Sus scrofa: one gene and its partner. The protein of the gene in region 1 purifies or fractionates together with the protein of each later gene. This does not show direct contact. Links are inferred from orthologs where the notes say so. Each region holds a gene or a part of one and is shown on either strand. Other genes may lie near its edges.

Region 1 (3,746 bases):
GCCTTGTCTGCAACCTACACCCCAGCTGACCGCAAAGCTGGATCCTTAACCCACTGAGCAAGGTCAAGGATCAAACTCGCATCCACATGGATCCTAATCCAGTTCGTTTCTGCTGAGCCAGGAAAGGAACTCCAGACTCAAACATCTTGATGTATTTTGTTTTCCGAAATAAGCAGTAGGCTCCTTAGAATGACAGTATTTTTTTTTTTTTTTTTTTTAAAGGGCTACGTGGGCAGTATATGGAAGCTGCCAGGCTAGGGGTCAAATCAGAGCTGTAGTTGCTGGCCTACCCACAGCCACAGCAAGGCCAGATCTGAGCCGCAATCTGCAACCTACACCACAGCTGATGGCAGCTCCCCACCCTTAACCCACTGAGGCTAAGGATCGAACCCGCATCCTCATGGATAATCCAGTTTGTTATTGCTGAGCCACAATGGAACTCCAGAATCACAGTATTTGAGAGCTGGGGTTTAACTTTCTTTAACAGGATTGGAGCCTAGGGTCCAATGTCTGTAGTTCCCAACACCTGCCTTGCATAGCATAGACACTAATTAATGCTGCATATGAAGCTTCCAAACACTCTCCAAAATGTCTTACGGCACTTTCCTTAAACCTCCTCTGTGTCCTAACAAGCAGCGTATTGATGTATTTCTCCCTTACTTCCCGGCTAAGCGATTTCTAGAGTGGACAAGTTACCATTTTGATTCTCTTGGTTAGTAACACCCATTAGCACCTAACCAGGTAACAGCTGAAAAAAGATGAGGTTTCCCCCCTCCCCTACAGGATCAGCCTGGAGACTCCAAGTGTCCTGGTCTCTCCATTCCCGCAAACTTAGACTCATTTAATAACTTTCCTCTCGCATCAAAGCAGGTGCGAATGCCGGTCAGCCAAAGACCTCGAATTTCCGCGGCCCCTGGACAGGTTCTCCACCCCTCAGAAAGACGGCGAGGAGGACCCAGGCCTGTGACTCAGGTTAGCCCTTTCCCTCAAATATCACCAGCGGAGGCTTTGCCCATCTTTTTGCCGTAGACTGTTTTCTCAGTGAGCCGATGTACTCCCTCAAGTAACCGATCCCCTATTTCACTTTTCAAGCCTCCAGACTCTGCGTCCATCCGCCTCGGCCTTCCTCCCTCGGTTAACGCGACAGTTTCTCGGGGAGATCGCCCAAGGCGCGTGGCAGGGCGGTTAGGCGACCAACGGTTTCCACCGCGAGGAGGGGGGAGCGGGCAAAGCGGCGGGAACCAGTCGAGCCGGAGGCAGCCGACGTGGGGCGGGGCCAGCCCCGGGAAGGATCGCGAAGGAGCTGGGAAGCCCCGCCCTTTCCGTAGATATCTCTAGAAAGCCGCGCAGGAGCCCGAAAACAAAGAGTGCGCACGCGCGGCGGCTGGGCCCGGGCATTTTGCTGCGTCACCAGCCGCCGCCCGGCCTCACCACCCCTCGCTCGCACGCACGCACGTTCATTCTCCGTTCTCGCGCCCCTTTTCCTACACTTTCCTTTTCTCCCCGACCGGAGGAGTCGCTCTGCCCGCGCGGTGCATTCTGGGAACCCAGGTCTAGCCCGCCGCGCCGCCGCCGTCGCTTGAGGGAAAAGCGAAAAGAGGCCGCAATCGGGGAGAGGACGCCAGAGTCGCCACCGGAGAGGAGTCGACTGCCTACCAGCTGCCGCCGGAGAGGCCCGCCCACCCGTTCGCCCGTCCCCTTGCCCCGTTCACGATGTGAGTGCGACACGCCACCCAGGGAAGGTCGCCCTGGAGGGAGGCCGAGGCCGCGCGGGGGGGTGCCGGGAAGCCATCCCTTCCCCTCCCCCGCTTTCGGCTCCCTCGGCTTTTTCCCCCTCGGTAGCATTCGTTCTTGCTTGGGGGTGGGAGGTCCAGTATCCTTGTTCCGGTTACCGTTGGCGGGTGGAGGACATTTTTCCTCCAGATGTCCGCTTCCCCCATCTCTAAACCTTCCCTTTGCTTCCCCGTGCCGGAAACCCCACTTTCCCCCTTCGGCAGTGAGGGCTGCTCCCAACTCTTCGTAACTTAGCCTTAGGCCTTAATCTCCTGTGAGCTTTTGGCCACGCGGGCGCCTCGGAGGCGTGGACCCTCGTGGGCTGCCACTCCGCTCCTAGCGACCTAGGTCTGCTTCTGCCGCTGTGTGATGCTGGGACCAGGCCCGGGGACAAGTGCACCTGCGGTGGGTCCTACCCCACAGCTGCTGGTGCTCTTCGTAAGGCACCACGCGGCCCTCCACTGCGAGCGACAGGTACTGCTAGGCAACTGGAGGGAGGGAGGCCATGCTGTCGCCGCAACTTACTTCCCTCTCGGTGTCGTGATTGCCAGAGTATGGGTGTTTCCAGGCTTCTTCTTAACTCAGTCTCGCGAAGGGAGTGGAGGTTGCCAAAACTCAGCCGTTTCCCTGGTAGCGAGGCTTTACAATTGAGCAGGGAGTTCTGCACTTGTTAGAGTTGAAAGATACTTAGGGATATTTTCTGTGAAACTTTAGGTGAGGTTTCGTTATCCTATTTTAATTTAAGGATGAAACAGGTAGGTAATTGCCTTTTTGTTGCCTTAAGTTTGTTTACGTGGGGGTAATTTCAGATCTTTTAAAAGTCTTAGTTTTATGATAAAGGAAAACATTTTAACCGAGTGCGGTCTCTTGCATTGCCATTCCCAGCTTTACATTCTTTTCAGGAAAAGCCTTACCTTTTCAGATGTGAGAACTGCCTATTTTACAGTTTTTTGGTACCACGTACTCCTGAAAGTTACCTATGGAGATCAATTGAGGGGAAGAATTTTTATTTCTATAAAAAGTAATGGATTTTCAAGGGTTTACCTAGTAAAATGGTGATATTTGTGGTGAGTATATTGAATTAGATGTCTAAATGAATAAGGATACACTGTAGCCAATTGATGGAGAAGAAGGTTTGAGAAGAATGCATGTATTACTGTAAAATGACATGTTAGAATTTTGGAAGGATTTCCCCCATCCCAAGAAGTGGTATGTAATAGAAGACTTTAATCTGTGTAAAAGAACTTGTACTTTTCTTTTTGAAATTTCTATTCCAAATAATGTAGCAGGATTGTCATTTGTGAGAAAATGAATCTGGAGATAAAGCATTACCAACTTTTAGTAAACTAATGTAGCGGAACAAGAAATATCTTTATATGAAGAGATAACATGTTTAATACGGTTTGAAGTAGAAACACTTTTCAGAGATCATGTAGAATTGGTAAATAGGTAAGAAATGTTAAGTTATATAAAGAACTCAATGAAAAGTCTAACAATCAGTATTCCAAAAAGCAATCTATAATTAGAAGAATGCTATTTTGAAAATGAGTGTTTTGAAGAGACCAGGTAAATTTTACTCTGTTTAGTCAATATATGACATCTTGCAAATTCTTTAGGGGATCTTATTAATTAATGACTGAATGAATTTACAAGATGAATATTACCAGTCAGTTACTTGAGCTGGAGAAGACTTTTATTTTTGTTGTTGTCTTTTCTAGGGCCGCACCCCAAGCATATAGAGGTTCACAGGCTAGGGGCCTAATTAGAGCTGTAGCTGCCAGCCTACATCAGGGCCACAGCAACTCGGGATCTGAGCTGCGTCTGCACCCTACACCACAGCTCACAGCAACGCTGGATCCTTAACCCACTGAGCAAGGCCAGGGATTGAACCCGCAACCTCATGGTTCCTAGTCTCGGGTTCGTTAACCACTGAGCTACAGCGGGGACTCCGGAAAAGACTTCTAATGGGTCAT
Region 2 (3,646 bases), on another chromosome or scaffold:
GGCAAAGGGTCGGGTGGGGTTTGCCTCACTTTACACTCCTGTCCCCCAGAGTATAATTGCCACCAGGACAGCAGCTGTCTGAATTATTCCCTACTCTGCACGCAGGGCCCATGGCAGGTCCCAGAACAGTACACACTTTGAATGGGTGAGTGTGTCTAATCCCGCAGAGAAAGGGGATCCACAACGTAAACAGTGACGATCCTTTCTGAATGCAGTCCTGTTGTGTAGCAGGTAGTCATCTGTGTGTCAGGCCCAGTCCGGGCCGGGAGAGCTACAGGGTCTAGTAACAACCACAATGACAGGTGATAAATGATGACACTTGCTACTGATACATTTACTTCCTTAAACAAGCAGCCTTCAGATCTGTGACTGCCCTGTTGGTATTGTCTGTTGAACTTAAAAAGGTAACAAGCCATTTCTTTGAGTACTTAAGCTTTTGTAGTAATATAGTCAAGATGATTCAAAATGGATACATTTTGGAGTTCCCTCAGTGGTGCAGTGGGATTGGTGGCATCTCTGCAGCACTAGGACACAGGTTCAATACCCAGCCTAGCACAGTGGATTAAGGATCTGGTGATGCTGGAGCTTCAGTGTAGGTTGCACCTGTGGCTCGGATCTGATCCCTGGCCCGGGAACTCCGTGTTCCTCAGTTGGCCAAAAAAAATAAAGTTAAAAATTTTTTAAATGGATACATTTTTAAGAGTAGGTTAACACATCATCAGCACACATAAAAAAGACACGCTTCCTAGTTTGTCAGACTTTCAAGTGTCGTTTTAAGACTTTTGGATTCCGCTAATATTCATCTTTTTGATCAAGTATTTATAAAAATCCCTGAAGCACAGGATGATTTTTCCTTACGTCATTGCATGTACTTGAAATCCCAGCTCACCTTCAGACGTTAATTGAGATCTATTTGTGAATAATCCAGTGAGGACTTTGGATTTAGTGAAATGGTCTTTTCCCCCCCTAAATTTAATTTTGCGGCATTCTTGGTTACCCATACTTACATATTTGGTTCTTTTCCTAGGTAAGTGGAGGTATACTTCGAATTTTTCCAGAAGGCAAAGCCCAGTTTGCTGACATTGAACCCAAATTTGATAGACTGCTGTTTTTCTGGTCTGACCGTCGCAACCCTCATGAAGTACAACCAGCATATGCTACAAGGTAGTGTTCCTTTTAAGAAAAACTTGGTAAAGAGCATGGCAGGATAGGAGGGGATACCTAGGATAAAGCTGAGCATTTTCTAATGAGTATCTTCCTGTTCAGAACCGGTTTTAATTTGAATAACTTTATAAGATTGATTCATAGTACTAAATGTGAGTTTCTTTGCATCGCCTCTCCTGGTCTGGGGAAAGGCAGGAGGCACAGGCCCTCTCACCTTTCCAGCCCCATCTCCTTGTATTGTGCATCTCTTACCTACTGCCATTCACTTGGGGATAAAGATGAGATGGAGAAGGGAAGGAGCTGTTCAGGAGGGAGTGGGAGGCAGAGAGATGATGTAGAAGAATGGTGCTGGATAAGTAACCAGAATGAAAGTGGAGAGGAAAAAAGCGGGGGGTGGGGAAAGGAAAGTAGAGAAGAGGTTGCCATGTGTGGGAGTTAATGTTAGAAAAATAACCCTTCAGCTTTAATAGTAAGCATGTGTTAGGCTTACAATACGTGTTTTCCACGTTACACTTTTTCTGCAGAGTTCATTTTCTAAACCTATTAGGTTTAATGTGTTCTTAAATTTTTTTTCTTTTACCATGTACTATGACCAAATTCAAATGTTGACAATTAAAATGTTAGATGTTATCAAAATAAATAGTTGTTTTTAAGAAAAGTGCTCCTTTTTAAATACCCGTTTTTAACTCTATCAGGGACTTTGAGTATTATGATAGTGAATTACGGGCATGCAGTGCTTAGACCTGGTGAGATACCCTTAGCTGTGCCGGGAGAGACGCTGGCTTTGATAATGACCTTAGAGCCGGGCCAGCACTCTGAAGAGTGTCATCTCTCCTTCCTCTTTCTGAGTCACTTTGCCTTCAGCCCTAATTCATATGTAAACAGCAGGCTTGGCATCGTGTGGCTAGAGTCTAAGAAGCCGTGGATGGAACTCCGGGGCTCCCGTCCAGTCACAGGCATGCGGTCCTGCATCCTCACCCTCCTCTTGGCACCCCAGGGCCCGTCTCTGTCCCTTCTTCTTCTTCACAGCCTTTTCTGACTTTCAGGGACCTTCCTTTTTATAGATTCTTGAATATGGTCTGGTTTCTAGATGAAGAGAGAACAAGCATTTTAGGTAGTAAATAAATGCCAAATGATTCTGGAGTGTTCCAGGGGTTTGGAGGAGGGAGAAAGTGGCATAAAATTGGAATTGATGGGTCCGGAGTGGCAGCTGGGACCAAAGAGAACCAGGAGCACAGCAGTGCTGGCAAAGGGGGGTGGGGGTGGGGCCGCACATGTCTGGCGCAGAGGTGGGTGGGGAGGAGGGCTCTCTTGAGTACATGGATTGGGGGGGTGCAGCAGGAAAACAGTGACACGTGGCAGGTTACAGCTATTTTCTGGGAGGGGCTTGATCCAAATATTAGAAATCTGATTACTAAGTAACTAAAAGACTGGCACAAGTGCAGAAGAGATATGAAAGTATTTGTTTCTGCACCTTCCCCATCGCCGGGGCCCCCTGAAGAAATAGAAGAGGCTGTGTTTGTAAGCGCCGCAGGCGTTCTGCCGTCAGGAGGCCAGACCTTGACCTCAGCTCTGCCCCTCCGCAGCTGCGTGGTCTGGGGGCTCGGCTCCCCCGGGTGTCAAACTCCCTGACTCTGGCTCTACTCCGCCCTTGACTCTTTACTTCAAATATGTCACAGGATTTAGTTCTGTCCTGTTTGCTGGCTCTTCATCTGATTAGTGAGATCCCCCGGGAACACTGGCCAGAATCTGCAGGATACTAATTGCTCCGTTCTGCTGAGGAGCTGTCATTTGTAACATGCTTTTTACTTCCTGGAGTGTGTACACATTCTGCGTTATTGGTACTAGAATGTGTAACTGAGTGCCCTGTGGTGTTTAATAAACCAGAGATTCTTCGTTTATTTGTGGAATGAGATATTCCAAATGAATGAAATTTTCAGAAAAATGAAGCAGAACATGACATAGTTGACATATTTAACTTTCTTGATGATTCGAGGTTATAAAACTGTAAACATTCCCCTGTGGCTCAGCAGGTTAAGAACCGGCCTAGCATCCATGAGGCTGCGGCTTCGATCCCTGGGCTCGCTCAGTGGGCTAGGATCTGGCATTGCCTCGAGATGCAGTGTAGGTTGCAGACACAGCTGGGATCTGATGTTGCTGTGGCTGTGGCTTAGGTCAGCGGGTGCAGCTCTGATTCTTAGGCGTAACTTTGGCATTACGAGTTTTAGTAGATCTTTGCATACCCCTTTCCCCCCTAGTGTGATCATTCTTACCCTATTCTAAATTTTCTTTTAGGTACGCAATAACTGTTTGGTATTTTGATGCAGATGAGAGAGCACGAGCTAAAGTAAAATATCTAACAGGTAATCATTTGGGGCCAGGGTACCCTGGATGGAGGAGGCCGCCCAGCCACACGGTCCTCTCTGTGAGCCAGAGACTTGCTCCTTGTTTTTGTCTGATTCTTAAATCCTTCATTTAAAAG

What was found. Proteins that work in one complex are often made in the same cells at the same time.
Region 2: the proteins of PTGES3 (region 1) and EGLN1 purify together in Homo sapiens (affinity purification with mass spectrometry; 5 studies listed by BioGRID and IntAct, with this or other methods). This does not show direct contact. The link is inferred for Sus scrofa from reciprocal best matches to the Homo sapiens genes PTGES3 and EGLN1.

Annotation. Positions count from the first base shown.
Region 1 is NC_010447.5:22,019,310-22,023,055, reverse strand, and holds the start of PTGES3 (prostaglandin E synthase 3), read left to right. Parts: upstream 1-1,356; 5' UTR 1,357-1,713; coding exon 1,714-1,715; exon of another isoform or gene 1,716-2,247; intron 2,248-3,746. UniProt on the Homo sapiens protein: Cytosolic prostaglandin synthase that catalyzes the oxidoreduction of prostaglandin endoperoxide H2 (PGH2) to prostaglandin E2 (PGE2).
Region 2 is NC_010456.5:59,162,025-59,165,670, forward strand, and holds part of EGLN1 (egl nine homolog 1), read left to right. Parts: intron 1-1,027; coding exon 1,028-1,164; intron 1,165-3,459; coding exon 3,460-3,527; intron 3,528-3,646. UniProt on the Homo sapiens protein: Cellular oxygen sensor that catalyzes, under normoxic conditions, the post-translational formation of 4-hydroxyproline in hypoxia-inducible factor (HIF) alpha proteins.